Linked DNA regions of Oryctolagus cuniculus. The protein of the gene in region 1 binds, or shares a complex with, the protein of each later gene. Links are inferred from orthologs where the notes say so. Each region holds a gene or a part of one and is shown in the gene's direction. Other genes may lie near its edges. The genes, in order: FNIP1, LAMTOR4, LAMTOR1 and LAMTOR2.

Region 1 (5,290 bases):
GAGTGGATAGAGAGAGAGAAAGGTCTTCCTTTACCGTTGGTTCACCCTCCAGTGGCCGCCACGGCTGGTGCGCTGCGGCCGGCGCACCGCGCTAATCCAAAGGCAGGAGCCAGGTGCTTCTCCTGGTCTCCCATGGGGTGCAGGGCCCAAGCACTTGGGCCATCCTCCACTGCCTTCCCGGGCCACAGCAGAGAGCTGGCCTGGAAGAGGGGCAACCGGAACAGAATCCGGCGACTAGAACCGGGTGTGCCGACGCCCCTAGATGGAGGATTAGCTTAGTGAGCCGGGCGCCGGCTGCATTTTTTTAAATATAGTCTTCCAGCCGTATAGCAGTCATTTCCTGACGTCCACGTTTCTGAGAATTGCAGCCTACTGTACAAAATTCCTCATCCTGGAGTGGAGTGGGGGGATGCATGGGGATGCTGAGAATTTACAATACTGGTTTGATCCAAACCCTGATGTATTTTGATTCCATGGGTTTGTATGACTGTTAATTTATGAGTTGGGGTTGGTGCTGTGGCGTCGCGGGTAAAGCCGCCCCCTGCAGTGCTGGCATTCCCCTATGGGCCCTGGTTCGAGTCCCGGCTGCTCCACCTCCTATCCAGCTCTCTGCTAGGCCCTGGGAAAGCAGTAGAAGATGGCCCAGGTCCTTGGGTCCCTACACCCGCATGGGAGACCTGAAGAAACTCCTGGCTCCTGGCTTCGGATCAGTGCAGCTCTGGCTGTTGTGGCCAATTGGGGAGTGAACCAGCGGATGGAAGACCTCTCTCTCTCCCCTCTCTTTCTCTCTGCCTCTCCTTCTCTCTCTGTCTAACTGCTTCTAACTAACTAAATAAATCTTTAAAAAAATTATGAGTATTTTTTTTAGAAAGCACCCCCCCATCCTTTGGTTAAAATTCCGGTTTCTTCCTTTCCCATCCCTATGCATTGATAGGATTTATTAACATTGTAAACACTGAGCATAAAGGGTCAGGTATTTGTGGGTGTGTGTCCCCTTTCTAGGCTTCCAGTCTTTCTCAGTTTCACTTCAGATTTTATCGGTTACCAAGGGAGCTGGGCTGAACTCCCTACCGCAGTCGCCAGCTCTAATGCCAGGTGTCAGGGTTGCAGGCGCTGGCGGAAACTCCCGGTGCCCTGCCTAGGTCGTCTCGGGAGGACGTCTAGGCAGGTGGACCCCGTAAGCCGGCCTCCGCGCCGTCCCGTCTCGCGGCCGGGGGTTCTCAATGCTGCCACGGTCGCGGCCCCAAGGGTATTAGTGTGCCTGCTCTGCTGCCGGAGCAGCCGGCTCGGCCAGGCGCGAGTTGGAGGGGAGAATCGGCTCAAGTCGGGGGAGTCAGCGGGTGAGCCCGCTGCCTGTGGTACCCCAAACATCTCTATCGTGGAAGTGAGGCGCGGAAGGCTTCTGCATCCCACAGTCCCTGGTGTCGTCACCGCGCCACCTGCCATAGCCTCAGACAGCCACTGACAGCCTCCCATGCAAGCACAGGGACCTGATCACGTCCCTTCCACCCCGGCCATCTTCTCCGCGCACGCCCCGCCCCGCGAGCTGCCACGTGACAGGACCAGACGCCAGCCTATGGGAGCCAGCGCCGCCCCGCACCCCCTCCTGCCCCCTGCTCCGCATGCCGCCACGTGATGCGGCTCCCCGCCAGCCAATAAGCGCGGGGTTTGCCTCGCGCCCCGCCCCGCGCGCCGTGGCCGTTTGAAGTGACTAATTTCTGTCATATGACTGAGGCGCCCATGGGGGTGGCGAGGCGGCTCTAGGAGCGGGGGCCTAGCGAGCGCCCAGCGGAGCGACCCCGGCCTGGCCGTGGCCAGCATGGCCCCTACGTTGTTCCAGAAGCTCTTCAGCAAGAGGAGCGGGCTGGGCGCGCCGGGCCGAGACGCCCGGGACCCGGATTGCGCGTTCAGGTAGGGTGCTGCGGGAAGGGGGGCTCGAAACCGATGGCCTTTTGGGCTCTGGGTTCCAGAGATGGTGGGGCCGTGGGCGTTGAGGCCCGCGCGGCCGGGACCGGGACCCGGTTCGCGGTGGGGTGGGGCCGGTGCGGACTCGGGCTGGAGGCTTGGAGCGAAGTCTTCTCTCCCCACCACCGCCCCGCCGTTGCCCCTTCCCCCTCCTCGGGCTGGTTTGTTTACGTCCCGTCCGCGGCCACGCGTGGCTCTGCCCCTCCGGACGTGGCCCCGCGGCCTGAGGCACGGGGTCCACACGCCTCCTGGCAGCGGGCAGGGCGCGGGCTGCTTTGGACCTGAGCCGCGGTCCTCCCGGCCCAGAACTTCTCCCCTCCTCCCCGTGACCAGTCGCCCTCTGGGCGCTCCATTCCAGCTCTGTTGGCGTCGGGGAGAGGGCAGCACGTTTGGCCAAGCTCCTGGGTGTGCAGAGGGCTGCAGGAGCGAGTAGGCTAGGGGCCGTTCTTTGAGGCTTCTTGGAGACTGAAATTGGAGGCTTGCGGATACCGGACCTTGCGGCTTTCATGTTATTGCAAGAGAAATGGGAAACCCGAGAGGTTAGCCTGACTGCCCACCCAGCTGATGCGGGACCGAATCCCGTGAGGTCTGGCGTTAGGATGGGCCCTAGAATCTTCCCCCTTAGAGCTGTTACTGCACAGGAGGCCACAAGTTGAAGACTGTGGCAGAAGGTTTTGTGGCATTACAAGCTTTGTTAATTTTTGGTTGCAGTACTTGTTGCTGGTTGAATAACTTTTTAGAATTGTAAGATTTGATGTAAAGCTGGATTCAGGGTCACAATTACTCGTGAAACTTCATATGAAGAGATGTTGTGTCTTCGACACAGCTTTCCTATCTGTTGTAGCCTGGAAACTTGCAAATGTAACCTGGCTACATGTCGAATATCCCTCAAACTTATTACATAGCAGAGAGCCTGGTTGTACAATAGCTGTAGGAAAAAATGAGAATCTCGAATCTTCCAGCAGGCCGAAGTGAGAAGGATTGCGGCACACTAGTTTTAGAAGTTTTGAATCTAAAGTTATTCAGCCTTTCTTGCTAATGCGGGTCACATCAGAAAACGCTCTGTAAATACATGTGGAATTGAAATAGGAAATGGAAAGAAGTTAACTGGTAGAGGAAAAAAAGGCAGTTTTCTAGGTATCGGTCTTTTCCACTGTGAGGGAGATGTCTTACCATGCTCATCTGACTTTTTCTAGACATTACTTTAGTATTTTTCCTTTGAAAAATGAAAGTACAGTCTGTGTCAATACTACACGGACACACGTAGTAACTCAGGAGATAGTAGGAAGCAGGTTCTGGAAAGATATTTCAAAGGTGACATTTGAACAGACAGCACCTTTCTATTTCTGAGCAAAGGCTGACTTTGGGCACCCAAGTTTACAGTGGTCTCAAGTCACTCGTGAGAACACATTTTCCTGTCTACTCTCTAAAAATGTAAAGTCTGCTGTATGGTTGTGTAATACTACTATAAAGTTGCCAAAGAACTTTCTCATCGGTTATCTTGTTTGATGTTTCACAACAACCTTGTGAGATAGGGCAAGTGGCAATATAGATAACTGTTATCATTTTTTCCAGTGGAAGTAAGAATTGTGTATAAGCCCAGTAATGGGCAGTGCACGAGGGAGGCATTTCCTTTATTTATTTGTAAAGCAGGTTGACAGACACACACACACACACACAGACAGGTTTTCCATCAACTGATTCACTCCCTAAACGGCCACAACAGCCAGGGCTGGACCAGATGAAAGCCTGGTTCTCCCACATGAGTGTCGGAGACCCAAGTACTTGAGCCATCACCTGCTACCTCCCAGGGTCTGCATACGCTGGCAGCTGGAATCAGAGGCAGAGCAGGGACTCCAGCTCGGGCACTTTGACGTGGGATGTTGGCATCCTAAGGAGCGATTTCACCAGTGCACCAGATATTCACCCCAAGCAACTTCTTAGAAAATAAAATGTGTGCAAGTGTACATGTGAGAAAATGGAAACTCTGGTTAACATCACATAGCTAGTAACTTGCAGATCTCATTAACCAAATTTTTTTAAACAACCTTATTGAATTATAATTTATACAAAATAAAATTACATTTTAAATGTCCTGTTGTGTTTTCTTTTGTATAGACTCAGTTGTGTGTGCACCATTCCAGTGAAGCTTGGGAACATGTCCATCCCCCTAAAATTTGATTTGTGCGCTTTGCAGTCGGTCTGTATCTTCTCGTCACCTGGGGTCGTCACTGATCTGCTTTCTGTCATCATACTTTTAACCTTCCTGGAGTTTTATATAAACAAAATCATACTGTATAGAGTTTTTTTTTTTTTTAAGATTTATTTATTTTATTTGAAAGGCAGAGTTACAGAGAGGCAGAAGCAGAGAGTGAGTGAGAAAGGTCTTCATCCGCTGGTTCACTCCTCAAATGGCCACAGCAGCCAGAGCTGAGCCGATCCAAAGCCAGGAGCCAGGAGCTTCTTCTGGGTCTCCCATGTGGGTGCAGGGGCCCAAGGATTTGGGCCATCTTCTACTGCTTTCCCAGGCCATAGCAGAGTGTTGGATCAGAAGTGGAGCAGCTGGGGCTTAAACCAGCACCCATATGGGATGCCGGCACTGCAGGCAATGGCTTTACCACTCTGCTGGTCCCACTGTATAGCCTTGTATTTGGCTCATTTTCACACAGAATGATGACTTTGACTTAGCCGTGTTGTTGCATCTGTCAGTAGTTTCATTAATCCTTCCTTTCATTGCTGAATGGTGTGTGTTGTACACACCACAATTATTTACTCATTCACTAGTTGGAAGAAATTTGTGTTGTTTCCAGATAGGGGTTTTGTGAACTGTGCTGCTGTGAATAGTTTTTTTTTTTTTTTTTTTTTTTTTTTTTTTTTTTTTGACAGAGTTAGACAAGTTAGACAGAGACAGAGAGAAAGGTCTTCCTTCTGTTGGTTCACCCCCCAAATGGCTGCTATGGCCGGCGCACTGCGCCAATCTGAAGCCAGGAGCCAGGTGCTTCCTCCTGGTCTCCCATGCGGGTGCAGGGCCCAAGCACTTGGGCCATCCTCCGCTGCCCTCCTGGGCCACAGCAGAGAGCTGGACTGGAAGAGGAGCGACCGGGACAGAATTCGGTGCCCCAACTGGGACTAGAACCTGGGGTGCCGGCGCCGCAGGTGGAGGATTAGCCAAGTGAGCCACGGCGCTGGCCTGCTGCGAATAGTTTTATATAGGTCTTTATGCAGATAAGTATTTTCATTTCTCTTGGTAGTTATCTTGGAATAATATTTTGGGTCATATGCTAAGTATTGTGCTTTAACTTTTTTAAAAAATTGCCAAACTTTT
Region 2 (5,366 bases), on another chromosome or scaffold:
AAGACAAGGGTCAGCACTGTACAGTTGATGGTCCTGTGAAATCAATACTAGCCCCTAGATGAGCAGGCCATTAAAGTGGGCAGAAGGGGACCATGATTGGTCCCCATAGTTACCAGTAGAAGGGGGGAATGTGAGACCTGAGCCTGGATCAAGGTGTAACTATTTTAAATTAGGCCTCCATCTTGTAACTTGGGCCTGACCAGGCCCTGAACCCTAAGCCAGAAGCTCTTAAAAGTAAATAAATGAATTCCCCTTGAGATAAACTCTCCTAGCAACAGCCAATTAGCAGATAACAGAGAAACACCTAGAGTTCCTGGTGTCTTCTCAGGGCAGATAAGGTGATTGATAGCTACCTGAGACCCTGTAGTTCCGCACATACACCCCAGCAGCTCGGACCCTATGCTTCGGCCAATCAATTCAAAAGGCATCAACCCCAAAGCCATCCAACCACCTTTAGTAGGTCCGTTCCCGCCACTGGATGCACGAATCAATTCTAAGAGATGTTCTTTGAATTTCCTGCAGGATGAGATGATTTGCTAAATGGAACCATGATGTATAGAATGTCTCTGAAACCCTATAAAAACCCTGTTAACTGAAGGGTCGGGGCTCTCATTTCAGGCCCGCTATGTCGGTGTTGATTGAGAGTCCAGGCCCGGACCTGCAATAAAACTCTCGTGCGCTTTACAGCGGTATCGGCTCCTTGGTGGTCTTTGGGAACAACTGAACTGGGCGTAACAATAAACCTTTCAAAATTTATTTTTGAAGAGCTGTGAGGTGACTGTTAATTCAGCTTGATTGGCAGTGATTTTTTTTTTTTAAGATTAATTTTATTTGAAAAAGAGTTACAGAGAGAGGTAGAGACAGAGAGAGAGGTCTTCTATCTGCTGGTTCACTCCCCAGATGGCCGCAATGGCTGGAGCCCATTCGAAGCCAGGAGCTTCTTCCGGGTCTCCCATGCAGGTGCAGGGGCCCAAGGACCTGGGCCATCTTCCACTGCTTTCCCAGGCCACAGCAGAGAGCTGGATCCGAAGAGGAGCATCTGGGACTGGAATTGGCGCCCATATGGGATGCCAGTGCTTCAGGCCCGGGCGTTAATCTGCTGCCACAGCGCTGGCTCCTGATTGACAGTAATTTGTCAAACCTTCTCAAAAAAACCAAGCAAGGGAAGGCTGTTTCCTGATACTGCAGCAGGACCCAGCTGACAAACCTCTAACACAGGTTTGTGAACTGTGGGCTAAAAACCACCTCTGATGTGGTTTCTTTCAATCAGTGTTCGACCAATGTGACGTCTTCCAGATCATGTTTAGTGATGCTAATCAAGTGCCCCAGGCCTTCCCGCTGCTGTTTTGAATGTTGATTTCTCACAACAGGTCTGCCTCTAGGTAGCATCTTCAGTATTCAATGCTCCAAGTGAGTCTGCATTCTGATTTGGGATATCAGTTCATTAAGTCGGCCCTTAAACTGGGTAGGGTTGTTTTTTTTTTTTAAGTAGCATTTGAATAATTTTTCACATGCACTTCAATATTTCATTTCAATCTCTCCTTTTAGGGTTGGGAAGTCGTTTTTTTTTTTTTTTTTTTTTTTTTTTTTTTTTTTTGACAGGCAGAGTGGGCAGTGAGAAAGGTCTTCCTTTGCCGTTGGTTCACCCTCCAGTGGCCGGCGTGCTGCAGCCGGCGCACCGAGCTAATCCGATGGCAGGAGCCAGGTACTTATCCTAGTCTTCCATGGGGTGCAGGGCCCAAGCACTTGGGCCATCCTCCACTGCACTCCCTGGCCACAGCAGAGAGCCGGCCTGGAAGAGGGGCAACCGGGACAGAATCCGGCGCCCCGACCGGGACTAGAACCCGGTGTGCCGGCGCCGCAAGGCGGAGGATTAGCCTAGTGAGCCGCGGCGCCGCCCAAGGTTGGGAAGTCTTAAACCCAGGAGACGACTCTCTTAGCCACTAGGGGGCAGTCTAGACCAGGTCGACGCGGGCCCGCATGCAGGCGCACGCGCACGCGCACATTCAGAGCTCCGCCCCCTCTCCGCGGACGCTTTTCCCTTCCTGCCCCGCCCCGCCCCGCCTGAGGGGCGGGGGAACAAATGGTAAAAAGTGTATGCGACCAATCCACGCGCGCCTCCGGAAAGCGGCTCTCCACACCGGCTGATCAAGTCTGATGACGTAGCCACGCTCCAATCCACACGCTGGGGGCGGGGCTGAAGTTCGGCGTCGCTGAGGGGAGGGAGGAGTCCGTCTGGTGGAAACACGTGACCCGGGCCTGCAGCCGGAAGCCACCTGTCTCGTAGGCAGCTCCTCAGGCACCTTAAGGCTGCGATGGTGAGTGAGGGCGCATGCGCAGGAGTGAGCGCCCGGGCTTCCCTGTCCAGGTTCCCCGGTCCTGGGTGGCCCCCTCCTGGGCCTGTACCCCACCCTCACCGCGAGTCCGCCCCGGGCCGAGAGGGATCTGTGGGAGGGCATTCGGGGCTGGGAAGTTCCCTGCGGGTCGGGGCGGGGTAGGAGGGGCTGGGCAGAAGGGCCAGCGGGGCTGCGGAGACTGCTTGGGTGGCGAAGGTGGGATGTGGGGGGCCGAGAGTGGGTGCTGACGGAGGCTCTGGAGCCTCAGAGGTGGAGGCCGCGTAGAGGGGCCCTGGCGGGGGCGAGGGGCAGCCTGCAGCCGTCGTCCGGAGCGGGCCTTCGTGCCGGCTCGCTTTTCACTGCTTGCATCTTTACCCACTAGACTTCGGCGCTGACCCAGGGGCTGGAGCGAATCCCAGACCAGCTCGGCTACCTGGTGCTGAGCGAAGGCGCGGTGCTGGCGGTGCGTCCTGGGGGAGCACACAGGGCCCAGCCTAGCTTAAGTGTCCCTGTTCTCTGCCTTTGCCATAGGGAGCTTGCAGTCAGTCCCCAGTCCGTGGAGGCTTGGGCTCGCATCCGTTTTGCACTAAGTTACTAACTTTGAACCAAAGGCACACGCTAGGTATAGGTTTGTGGATAGCTGACCCTACCTACGTGTTCCTCTAGCCTATTTTTATTTTATTATTTATGGGGTTAGCGCTCTCGACGCTTCTGCACTAGGTAGAAAGACAAGGCTTCAGGTCCAAGGTGGAAAGCAACGCAAGTGGGAGAGACTGTTGAAGGGGTTCAGAAAACCACGCCTGGGCTCCGCAGGAGAACCTGAGTTGGGCAGATTTCTCGGGGGAATTCAGCTGAGCGCACAGCAGGGGCGGTTGTAGGTGAGCAGAAGAGTGTTCAGGGCCGGGAAGGGAACACATTTGCAGGGGTGGACGCTGCCTGGCGAATTGGTGGTGGGTTCGTGTTGAAAAGATTTGGGGAAAGACAAGGATACGGTAAGGAAAAGATCCCGCCATGGAGGACTTCCAAGGCCACGGTGTTAAACGCCTCTAGACCTAATCTTATAGGAGCCTTGAAGTTTTTTGTTGTTGTTTTTAACAGAAATGTGACCCAACGGAAGGGCTGAGCAGGATTGTTCTGTTAGTGGTGTGAGGACGGTGCTGGCAGGGGGATGCCCAGGCTGGTGGCAGTGAGGAGCAGGAGTGAAGAGGTTTTAGAGGAATCTTGGTAGTGACTAGATAAGAAGTAGAGGAGACATTTCTCTGTCCAGAGTTTGAACTCAGAAGCCTGGAAGAAGTGTTTCCCAGCCCGGCGCCGTGGCTTACTAGGCTAATCCTCCGCCTTGCGGCGCTGGCACACCGGGTTCTAGTCCTGGTCGGGGCACCGGATTCTGTCCCGGTTGCCCCTCTTCCAGGCCAGCTCTCTGCTGTGGCCCGGGAGTGCAGTGGAGGATGGCCCATGTACTTGGGCCCTGCACCCCATGGGAGACCAGGAGAAGCACCTGGCTCCTGCCTTCGGATCAGCGCGGTGGGACAGCCGCAGCACGCCAGCCGCAGTGGCCATTGGAGGGTGAACCAACGGCAAAGGAAGACCTTTCTCTCTGTCTCTCTCTCACTGTCCACTCTGCCTGTAAAAAAAAAAAAAAAAAAAAAAAAAAAGTGTTTCCCAAACAGGACATCAAGAAAGGAGGTTGACTGGGGGCAGTGGATAAGGGGAATTTTGATGGCCTGACTTTAGGCACCAAATTTGATACAGAATAGCAACTAATATGAGTTGTTCTCAGTGCCTCCACGTAATCCTCACAAGCCTAAAAGATAGAGATCGGTGTCCCCAATTTAGGGATGCGAAGACTGAGGTACAGGTGTCTAAGAACCAAGGGAAATAAGCGTAACTTAGTGGGAGGAGGCTCGAGTCAGTGAGGTGGGAGGAAGTTGAGTCACCGGAAAAGAGGAAGCCCAGGCCACCATCCGCACTTCCCCAGGGGGCGAGGGGCAGGGAGGGGTTCCACAGAGGCGGTGTGTGTTTTAGATTCTGCAGACCGAGCAGCGGGGGAAAGCAGAGCACTGAACAAGCCCGTGGTGGGTAGGCACTGATGGTGGAGACCGTGGACAGGGCGAGAAATCCACTCTGAAGGGGTTCGAGAACTGTCTGGGAAGGGCTGAGGGCATCTCTCATGAGGGAGGCCCAGGATGGTAGGGATGAGCAACGGGGTAGCCCGAGGCGGGTGACCCGCAGGGAAGTTTTAGGTCCATTCGTTGGGCAGATAGGAAGGGAGACCCTGTGCCTTCACCTCTGTCACCTCCCCCCCTCTGCATGCAGTCGTCCGGGGACCTGGAGAATGACGAGCAGGCAGCCAGTGCCATCTCAGAGCTGGTCAGCACGGCCTGCGGATTCCGGCTGCACCATGGCATGAACGTTCCCTTCAAGCGCCTGTCCGGTGAGCCCCAGCCCCTGCCGTGGTGGTGGGGGTACCTCTAGAGGCTTCTCAGGGAAGACACCTTGCTTCTTCCCAGCACCTCCTGGGGTCCCTGGCTCAGCCACTTCCTTCCCTTGGAGATTGGCCCCGTGCATGGCACCCGCTAACCATGCTCCCTTCCCTCCCCTGGGGCGGGGGAAGGTGTGTCTCCCCTCCAGTGGTCTTTGGCGAGCACACGCTGCTGGTGACTGTGTCGGGACAGAGGGTGTTTGTGGTGAAGAGGCAGAACCGAGGCCGGGAGCCCATTGACGTCTGAGCCTGCCCGAGGGTGAGGGTCAGAGCAGTGGATGTGGGGCCGCGGGCCGGGGGCCTTGGACGAGGAAGACAGACACGTCGTCCGCCTCTCTTGGCTTGCTGCTAGAACTAAGGTCTTCTGCTCACCCGCCGTCCCACCCCTGTGGAAAGGCAGAGGCTTGGAGACTGCTGTGTTTCAGAGAATGGAGGCAAGGGGACCTCTGTCGTCCTTCCCTCCCTCCCAATAAACTTGCGTCTGATGTTCCTGGGCTCGGGAATGTGTGTCCTGGGGGCAGAAATGGCAGGGCGGGGGGTCTTCCACA
Region 3 (3,998 bases), on another chromosome or scaffold:
GTGGAGCTGTGGGCTGGTCAGCTGGGGCCTGCAGCAGGCAGGCTTGTGGTAGGAGCTGAGATGGACTGGGAAGCGAGCTTTGAGGCATCTGGAGGTCTGGTGCTGGGGGTTCGAGAAGCAGCATTAGCCAGGATGGGCTCCCTTCCCATTTACGGCTTGGGTGGACACCCAGCAGGTCTGCTAATCCGATTCGCAGCTGATACAAAGCCAGCAGGGATTTACGCTCATGGGCTCAAGGCAGGGTTGAATCCAGAGAGAGTACAGTAGATTAGAAGAAAGGCTTGAAACAGGCCAGGGAAATACAATTTTGCAGGAAAAGGGAAACTTGGTTTGGCCCTAGGTCCACTCTGGGCTGTGGCTGGTTGTGATTATCTGCACAGGCTAGCAGGAACAGGCTCCTGAAACTGAAGAGGCTGCTCCAGCCACAAGAGGTGTGGGGGCTTGGAAAGGGAGGCGACAGCTGTACTGCTCAGCTCAGTGCAGGGTTCACCAGGTGCATGCCACTGCTTCTGGGAGGCACATACAGGAGGGCATGCACCTGAGAGAAGGATCCGCCCTCAAGAAGGGAGGACAGCTGTCCTGTGTGACCCAGATCCTGGGCTGAGATTCCTGCCCTGAGGTCACCTGAGGAATGGCCACTGAACTTGCTTTCCTTTGGTGCCTGGGCCTTGTCTGGATTCACCAGGGCCGTCATCTCGGGAGCAGACAGCTCTGCTGGGGAGGGCCTCGTCCTGGGGCCCAGGGGTCGGTTCTTGAGCTCCCGACGTGCACTGACTTCCTTCTAGATCCGACTGTTACGGGCTGTTACACCCCTCTGTCCAGTATCCTTTCTCCACCAAATCCTGGACTGTTTACTGAAGCCCCAGGGCTGTGGCTGAATTCCTGCTTTCTGCCTCTGTCCACCTTTTCAGTGCCTCTAGGACTGCTTGGTTATTCCCCTGTAGTTAACCCTAGGCCACCACCAGTTTGGCACAGCTCCCCACGCAGGCAGAAACTGAGTCTTGCCTGATAGCCCATAGAGTTGGGCACTCAAGCGAGTGCTTATGCTAGAGCTGGGCTGCAGGGAGAGCCCCAGGCAAGTTGGACTAAGGGTCTCCCCCATGGCCTCTCCTAGGATCGAGAGGAGCGGAAGCTGCTGCTGGACCCTAGCAGCCCCCCCACCAAAGCCCTCAATGGAGCTGAGCCCAACTACCACAGCCTGCCTTCCGCTCGCACAGATGAGCAGGCCCTGCTCTCCTCCATCCTCGCCAAGACAGCCAGGTGAGGGTCACAGGCCCGAGCCTGGGGCAGAGTTCCAACGTCCGTCTGTCCATCCGGACTGAAGGCTGGGATAGAGGGAGTTGGCCTAGGACATGGGGAATGGGACAAGGTCATTGAGGAGCTGCGCCTCAAGGCAGGGTGGGGCCACTGGTGTCGGATAGCCCTGGAGTTGGCACCTGGCACTGAGTCATGTTTGTCCCTCTCAAAAACACCTGTCATGTCTTCTCTGTCTCGTCCCCAAAGCAACATCATCGATGTGTCTGCCGCAGACTCCCAGGGCATGGAGCAACATGAGTACATGGACCGGGCAAGGCAGTACAGGTGAGCACTGGCCAGCTGGCTCCCTCAGGCCTTTGGGGCTCTCTCCACCCCAGCCCTGTCCCAGCTTTGCTCAGGCTCACTGTTTGGGTGCAGCCCAGGAGACTGCACACAAATCCCTTGGGCGCCTCAGATGTCCATGTCAGCTTCTGCCCTGTGATAGTCTTGAGAGTGTGCCTAGAGTGAGTTTGTGATCAGCAGAGACCCTGTCTCCCTGTCATCGGCCGGAGGTTAATAGACTTGCCTGGGCTGGGCTGGGGTGGTCAGACTGTGGCCTAACTGCCTTCCCCGCCTTGCTCAGCACCCGCTTGGCCGTGCTGAGCAGCAGCCTGACCCACTGGAAGAAGCTGCCACCGCTGCCGTCTCTAACCAGCCAGCCGCACCAAGTGCTGGCCAGCGAGCCCATCCCCTTCTCCGACTTGCAGCAGGTGAGCTGCCCCTCAGTCTGCCTCCCTTTCCACAGGAGGGTTCGCCCACCCTGCCCCGGGGTAGGTGGAGCAGTGGTGTTAGGAGCGCAGTGGCCTGTGGGCCCTGGCTCACTCCCACCTCGCTCTTTTTAATGTCCTCTTGTCTTTTCGCCCAATCCTTACTCCATCTCACCTCCTTTGTTCTTTTCCCTGGGCCCTTTCCATCCGTGGCTTTCTGTTTGGCCTCCTGTCGCCCATTGCCCCTTGCTCTTCGCTGATTCCCCTCTCACCTGTCTCTGTCCCTCTCCTCCGTCCCCTGTGTCTCAGGTCTCCAGGATAGCTGCTTACGCCTACAGTGCACTTTCTCAGATCCGTGTGGACGCAAAAGAGGAGCTGGTTGTACAGTTTGGGATCCCGTGAAGAGAAGCATCCTTGGACAGCTCTTCTCCTCTCTCCACCCCGCCTCCCCCAGCCCCCAGCCTCACTGCGGCTTATACAGTACCCTAACCTGCTACTAATCACGGAGATGTGGACGAGGAGGAGGAGAGTGAGGCTGGAAGCCTGAGCAAGTGAGGACGGAGCAAGGGAGGGTGGAACCATTTGGGACTGGCTTCAAAGCCCTAGCTAGGGGTGGAGTGGGGGCCAAAAGGACAGGTCCTCGCAGTCACTGGGAAGGTGGAGGTGCCACTGCGGGGGTGGTCACTGGGGCCCAAAGGGTCCCCCTCCCACCCTTCCTCTTGGCCTCAGAGTCACTCCTGTCCCCCTCTCCCTGACTTGGTGCTCACATGCACCTCTAGGGTTTGTGACCAGGGTCTGGATGAGCTTGAATTTGAATGAATTGAGTTTGTCTTTCTAGCACCCTGGGTTTTTACATGTTTGGTCTTTTTTCTTTTTGTTTTTGTTTGTCACCCTCGATAAAGGAAATGTATTCATCTGCGTTGGTTCCGGCCCCTCTGTCCCACCCATCACCCTACTACTTCTGGCTACCCAAGTCTGTGAGCAGTGGGGTGGGGGGCCCCAAGTCTTAGCTGAACCTTGGCCTGGGCTAACCTCAGATTGGATTCGACTGATCTTAAACACAGTCAATGCTGCACAGGCTTGAATCTGAAGCAGCTGTTGACTGTTGAGGGTCCTGCCTCAGGCTCAGTGGGGTCACCGATAGCCACAGGGTTGGGGGTAAACCAAGCTGTCCTGGGAACCCCTGATCTGGAGCCAGCAGGAAATGTTTTTAAGCAGAGATTCTTTGAATCAAATGAGATCTTAGCAGAAGCCTACCATATAAAAGCTAAGGCTGCTGGAAGTAGAGCATTGTGATTGAAGTGGGGAGGTTCTGAGATCACCACCTGTCTTCTGGACCTGCCACACCTGCCACGGGGCCTCTTGGGTGTCTCCTCTGACCTGGCGCTCTGCGAAGAGTTTGGGGATTCAGTGATCGATGCCAACCCCAGGATAACTAAGCTGAAGGGTACAGAGGGACCCTTCCTAAGGCCTTGTGGGAAGCCCAGTCTCCTGTCCTCGCTGCTGGCCTGACACTGTGGAATGCCCAGCACTCCTGGAAGTCACCCGAGTTGGAGGGCATCCCATGAGGCACAAGTGACTTCGCGTCTGCTGAACAGCTCAAAGCATTTATTGTCACACCAAGCTGACCGTCCTCGGGCCTTCAGGACTGCTGCGGTCCGGGGCCTCAGAGTGCGTTCTGCTTGAGCCGGGGCTTCCTGGGCTTGATGTTCATGCGCTTCCAGACTTCAGCTGTGGTGCGGTCTGCTTTGGTGACCCCACTGAAGTCGAATGTGGTGATACGGGGCAGCATACACAGCACATACTGCCTGGTGAGGAGACCCGGGCTGGGGGCCGGCCCCCCATCAGAAGCTCCCTGCCCCGCCCCACCTGCTGCTTTCTCCCTCACGGCAGGGGATGGAGGGACTTAGATCCAGTTTGGGGAAGTGTGTGTGGACCCTGACTGACAACAGGAAATGCTTACAGGTCTGCTGCTCCCTTCCCAGGAGCAAGCAC
Region 4 (5,449 bases), on another chromosome or scaffold:
GGAGCTGGAAACTCAATCCAGGTCTCCCAGGTGGGTGGCAGGGACCCAGCCACCTGAGTTAGCACCTGCTGCTTTCCAGGGTGCACATGAGAAGGAAGTTGGAATTGGCAATGGAGCCAGGCCAGGCACTCCAAAATGGACTGTGGACATCCCAACAGGTGTCTTACCTGCTTTAAGTTTTGTTTACTTATTTGAGAGAGAGAGACAAACAGAGCAAACAGAGCTCCCAGCCACAGGTTCACCCCCCAAGTGCTTGCAATAGCAGGGGCTGGGCTAGGCTGAAGCCAGGAGCCAGAAGCTCAACCCAGGTCTCCCATGTGAGAGGTAAGGACTTGAGCTGCCGCCTGCTGCCTCCCAGGGAGCTTCTTTCTTAACCAGGAAGATAAGCCAGTCAGAGGCTCCTCTCTCAGCGCCATCCCAGTCTCCCACCCGAGGAAGCCCTCACAGCTATCTGTACCCCAGACTGAGCAACTGCCCCATCAACTCCTTCTACGGCCTGGCGCTTCTTCAGCCTTCTCCTCTCCCCGCTCCAGCGTCCCGCCTCTCCTGACTTCCAGCTCTCTCAACAACAGCAACAACAAGGTCCAGCCACTGAGCACGAACCAGGCACGAGTTAATGGTCCGGTATTTTCATTATTAACTCCGTGTTCAAGATCAGAAAACGGAAGAGCAGGGAGCTTAGGTAACATCCTGGGCAGATTGGAACTCAGGTCTTGACCAGACACTCTTGCCTCTCAATTCCAGCTGTTTTCAAAGTCAGCTTTGCAGGGACCCCTCTTCTGGAATTCAGTCATTTTATACTGCTGGGAGAGTTCAATTCTCAGTCCCTGCAAAGCCCAACCCAACCCAACGCACACTCCGAGTAGAAAAGGCGCACTTGCTAATAAGCAAAGGGAGCTTCCAAATCCCTCTCTTCCAACCAGATGGCCCATCCTGAAGCCCCGCCTATGTGAAATTCTGGAGCAACTACAGGGGGGTGGCGAACGCAGGCAAGAGTCCCTCATTCAACAAAACCTTATGGAGCACCTACTGCACACTGTGCAAATCTCAGAAGAGCTGAAAACCAAGTGTGACCACCTCGGGCTTAAAGAGCAGGAAGGATCTAGGGCAGAGAACATCCTCCACCCCACCCCGCGCCCTGCGTTCGGCGGACTCTGGGCGTTCTCCGGGCCACACAGGAGACGCGGGCGCTCTCCGCCTGCCCCCTACCCGCTCTACGGGTCCAGCACCTAGCCGGGGCCGCCACTGCGCCTCGGCGCCTCGAACCCCGGCCAGTTCCAGGGGCGCACACTCCCCTCAGCCCCAGGGTGCTTCCCGGGGGCCGGCGCAAGGTGTCCCCTTACCCACTCTTCCACCACGCCCCCAGCCCCGGCTCCAGTGCAAAGCCCGCTCCCCCCAGCACGCGCCACACTCCCCCAGACCCGCCCGCGCAGGGCGCCCCATATCCGCCTCTCCTGCCCACGCGAGTCCCCGCCGGCCCCCGCCCTCCTCCCCGGGGCCGTCCCGGACGCCAGGCAGTCACGGAGGCCCCCCGCCCCGTTTCTTCGTAGCCCCCTCCTCCGCACTCCCTCTCCGCTCCCCCCCCGCCCGCCGCTAGCCCTACTACCTCCTTGACCGAGGCTCGATCGCAGATCACAATTTCCTCCTTGTCCTTGGGGGTCTTGACGGTGACCCGAATGGGGGGCCTCGTCTCGGCCCCGCTCGGCTCCGCCATGCCGCCGCCGCCACCCGGCCGCCCGCCAGCCCGCCCGGCTCCTCCTCCTCCTCCTCCTCCCCGCCCGCCGGCCGGCCCGGCTCGGCTCGGCGCCTCCAACACTCCCCTCTCCCCTCCCCTCGCCGCGGCTCCGCCGCCCCCTCCGGACCCGCCGCAGCCACAGCGCCCCGGGCGGACTGGGGGGGCCACTGCAGCGGGGTCCGCCCAGGGCCCGGCCTGGGGTCCGGCCGCCGGGACGCGGCCTGGGTGGCGAGGGCCTCTGGGCGCGGAGGGCGTGTCCTTCACGGCGGGGGCCTGCGAGAGACCCCCGCCCGGCCCGAGCCTCGCCGCCGTGCCCTGCGACCCCGGGCCGCCCCCTCCCCTCCGCGGTTACTCCTGCTCCCGGACAAAGGACTTTCTGCGTGGCCGCTTTTTCTGTGATAACTTGGTCTTCCCTGGGCGGTGCAAGTTCCTTTCCAGGCCTGGGGCCTCGCTCCACCGGGAGTCTGAATTTTCTCCCCGCGGGACGTCCACTTAAAGCCTCCACTCAGGGAGTGACCCTGTTGCTCCCGATGCCCACGGCCTGAATGGCCTGTTCTGTACGGTGCGAGAACTGGGTGTTGCCGGCGTCACCGTTCCAGCCTCGGTTTCAAGAAAACAGAATCTCTTGCCTCATCCCACAGAATAGTGCCTAACGTAGAAAACCGCTCTGAGAAGTAACCCAGGCTGTGCCCGACAAATACGAGGATTTATTACTACTATTATCGCTTCGTGAGTAGCCAAGCGGCCATGATGACCTCTCTCCGCCAAGGGGTTAAACGTCCTCCCAACCCTGCCACATTGCCCTTCCACTCCCGCTCTTTTCCCCCACGACCGCGTGGTCTAGCTGAGGAGGCGAACTACAGTTCCCAGTGTGCCTTGCGAGACCACAGGAACTACGATTCCCAGTCCCTCCGCGGCTGAGCGGGGTGGGGCCAGAGCAGCTGTCACGGGGTCGGAAAACTACAACTCCCAGGGCGTTCCCGAGCGGGTCGCTGCACTGCCGGAAGCCGCAGGCCGCGGCTAAGCGGGACGCCGCTCGGAGGATCTGGGATTTAAAGGCTGGGTGACGAGCCGCTGGCATGCTGCGTCCCAAGGCGTTGACCCAGGTGCTAAGCCAAGCCAACACCGGAGGCGTCCAGAGCACCCTGTGAGTGCGGGCCGTGGACCCGTGCGGCGGCAGCGGAGTGGGGCGGGGAAGGGAGGCGGCCGAGGGGACCCGCAGCTGACCGAGAGCGCGCCTCTGGAAAGGGAAGCCAGCGTGCTGGGGGCTCGGGACGCCTTCCGGGACACGCTCAGCTCAGCCCCTTGCCTCGTAGGAGCGCCAGTGATACGGGCGTCGGGGCGGGGACCCAGGCGTTTGAGCATGTCGACATCCCATCCTTGTCTCTCGCCAGGCTGCTGAATAACGAGGGATCGCTGCTGGCCTACTCGGGTTATGGAGACACGGACGCCCGGGTCACCGCGGCCATCGCGAGTAACATCTGGGCAGCTTATGACCGAAACGGGAACCAGGCGTTTAACGAAGACAACCTTAAATTCATCCTCATGGACTGCATGGTACGGAGAGAGGGGAGCCAGACTTCCTCCATCCACCAAGGGGATTCCCAGGGGGCGAACTGGCCCCCATCCTGGATGATTGTTGGGGCAGGGACAGAATCTCCGAGAGATTGCTAAGAGTTGGTCCTGCAGCAGCGTTTGCGATAGGCAGGCCCGGGAGCACCCAGCGGTGGTGAGGAAGGAGCCCCGGACCTCAGGTCTGACTTGGGTTCTGGTCTCTGCCATGCACTTAGCAGTGGTGAAACCTTGGGTAAGTCACTTCCCTCATCTCCAAGCAGGAGGTGATGAGCCATCCTCCCCCACCTCGGGACTGTTGACAATCAAATGAAAGAATGGGTCTACACCGTAGAGAGCTGTTCAGACGCAGAGCGTGTCCACCCAGCGCCACCGACTTGCAGGGCCATGGCGGAGTCTCCAGACCCGGACAGGAGAAGTGGCCATTACACTGTGACTTTCTTGGGAACAGGGACTGCTTCGCTCCTCTCTGAATCTCTTAGGTGACGACCATTTAGGTCCTGCAGGACTTTTAGGACTAGAGGGGGCATACAGACAGGACAGACAAAAACCCCATTCCTGGTGGAGCTTACAACCTTACATGTGTTTTAAAATAAGCAGACTATCTGGTCTGGACCGTATGAAATGCAATGGAGAAAAACAAAGCAGGGAAGTAAGAGGGTATGGAGGGCGTGTGTTAGGGCCAGTGTCACTGAAAAGGCGATGTTTGATCAAAGGACAGAGGGTGGTGGGGGTCCAGTCATGTGGCCCTCTGACAGAGCAGCAAGTACCAAGGTCCTGTGACAGAGTGGGGCCTGGACTAGGATCAGCAAGCTTGGCCTGAGTCGCGGGAGGGTAGCAGGAGATAGGACCAGAAAGACAGGGGCTGTGGTGCCTGGTTCCCAGCACACAGCGGACACCTAGTAAAGGTTTGCAGAACCAAAATGAACAGATTGCAAGGGTGCGTGCACCAGGAAGGGTCTCCACTGTAACTTGGCTGCCTGCCCCCCCTGACCTCACCACTGCCATTTTGGCTCAGCAGGTGACTCCTATGGGTGCCTAGCTGGAGCTGGTGCTATTTAAAGCAGTAACTTTCAAATGTGACTGCAACCCAGACGAGACATACATTTTAAGTCAGGAACCCTCGGGGAAGGCGGGTCCTGTGAGTGTCAAACAGAACATCCCATCCCATCATATCCCCTACCAGGAGGGCCGTGTAGCCATCACCCGCGTGGCCAACCTTCTGCTGTGTATGTATGCCAAGGAGACCGTGGGCTTCGGCATGCTCAAGGCCAAGGTGTGTACATGTCCATCCTGCCGCAGCTGTGGGCCCGCTGTTGTGCTCCGTCACTGTGTCCACTCCCACCCACAGCACCGCACCGCTCTCAAGTCCTTCCGTCAGCTCAATTAGTGTCTGATGTGGGCAGGAGGGAGGTGGGAGTGGTTGAGGGGCGGCCTTGGGAGTAGAACTGGGATCCGTCAAGTGGCAGGCATCTGCGACACTGACTTCTTCCCCCCCTCTTGCAGGCCCAGGCCTTGGTGCAGTACCTGGAGGAGCCCCTGACCCAAGTAGCTGCATCATAATGGACATTGGTGGAAGCTGGGGTCAGAATGGGGTCAGCATCATAGAGACCATGGGGGGAGGGCGGGACTGTGGTTTTTGATTTGTTGTTGTTGTTGTTCAAGAATGAAATTCAGCTCCTGTCTTGTGTCTTGGCTTTTTTTTTTTTTTTGGATGGGAAGAATCATAGGAGGCAGGAAGGAGCAGGGGCCACGTACAGGGTGTCCTGTGTTCTGCAAGAATGGGCGTCCACCTGCACCTTCCCTGTGACCTCCCGCTACCAAATGGTTCTTGGCAGAGGTGCCTCAGCTCTCCTGGCCTCTCCAGTGCTGTGACCTCACCTACCCTGGTGAGGTCACAGCAGATTCTTAGCTACCTGGTTGGCAACCTTGTTGGGAGTGGGCTCCTGGCACAGGCTGGACAAGAGCATATCAGACCCTGAGAGGTCAGTGGCCATTCTGGGCTTCGAGGGGCTTGCCTTTTCTTCTTTCTGGGGTTGGAAGGATGGCTCCTAACCTACCCTTCGCTGGTTCACTCTCTAAGTGGCCACAACAGCTGAGGCTGGGTCAGGCTGAATCCAGGAGCTTCATCCGGGTCACCCA

Evidence for each region.
Region 2: FNIP1 (region 1) and LAMTOR4 share a complex: the UniProt entries of both Homo sapiens proteins name them as parts of the lysosomal folliculin complex. The link is inferred for Oryctolagus cuniculus from reciprocal best matches to the Homo sapiens genes FNIP1 and LAMTOR4.
Region 3: FNIP1 (region 1) and LAMTOR1 share a complex: the UniProt entries of both Homo sapiens proteins name them as parts of the lysosomal folliculin complex. The link is inferred for Oryctolagus cuniculus from reciprocal best matches to the Homo sapiens genes FNIP1 and LAMTOR1.
Region 4: FNIP1 (region 1) and LAMTOR2 share a complex: the UniProt entries of both Homo sapiens proteins name them as parts of the lysosomal folliculin complex. The link is inferred for Oryctolagus cuniculus from reciprocal best matches to the Homo sapiens genes FNIP1 and LAMTOR2.

Annotation. Positions count from the first base shown.
Region 1 is NC_091437.1:20,416,825-20,422,114, reverse strand, and holds the start of FNIP1 (folliculin-interacting protein 1), read left to right. Parts: upstream 1-1,689; 5' UTR 1,690-1,819; coding exon 1,820-1,911; intron 1,912-5,290. UniProt on the Homo sapiens protein: Binding partner of the GTPase-activating protein FLCN: involved in the cellular response to amino acid availability by regulating the non-canonical mTORC1 signaling cascade controlling the MiT/TFE factors TFEB and TFE3.
Region 2 is NC_091450.1:42,481,171-42,486,536, forward strand, and holds LAMTOR4 (ragulator complex protein LAMTOR4), read left to right. Parts: upstream 1-2,032; 5' UTR 2,033-2,315; coding exon 2,316-2,318; intron 2,319-2,718; coding exon 2,719-2,799; intron 2,800-4,652; coding exon 4,653-4,770; intron 4,771-4,950; coding exon of another isoform or gene 4,951-4,967; coding exon 4,968-5,065; 3' UTR 5,066-5,307; downstream 5,308-5,366. UniProt on the Homo sapiens protein: As part of the Ragulator complex it is involved in amino acid sensing and activation of mTORC1, a signaling complex promoting cell growth in response to growth factors, energy levels, and amino acids.
Region 3 is NC_091432.1:63,578,697-63,582,694, reverse strand, and holds the end of LAMTOR1 (ragulator complex protein LAMTOR1), read left to right. Parts: intron 1-1,114; coding exon 1,115-1,260; intron 1,261-1,503; coding exon 1,504-1,581; intron 1,582-1,879; coding exon 1,880-2,006; intron 2,007-2,312; coding exon 2,313-2,405; 3' UTR 2,406-2,917; downstream 2,918-3,998. Other genes in the region: LRRC51 (leucine-rich repeat-containing protein 51), read right to left, coding at 3,670-3,829. UniProt on the Homo sapiens protein: Key component of the Ragulator complex, a multiprotein complex involved in amino acid sensing and activation of mTORC1, a signaling complex promoting cell growth in response to growth factors, energy levels, and amino acids.
Region 4 is NC_091438.1:42,634,213-42,639,661, reverse strand, and holds LAMTOR2 (ragulator complex protein LAMTOR2), read left to right. Parts: upstream 1-1,956; 5' UTR 1,957-2,814; coding exon 2,815-2,882; intron 2,883-3,129; coding exon 3,130-3,292; intron 3,293-4,493; coding exon 4,494-4,583; intron 4,584-4,813; coding exon 4,814-4,870; 3' UTR 4,871-4,988; downstream 4,989-5,449. Other genes in the region: UBQLN4 (ubiquilin-4), read right to left, coding at 1,607-1,714. UniProt on the Homo sapiens protein: As part of the Ragulator complex it is involved in amino acid sensing and activation of mTORC1, a signaling complex promoting cell growth in response to growth factors, energy levels, and amino acids.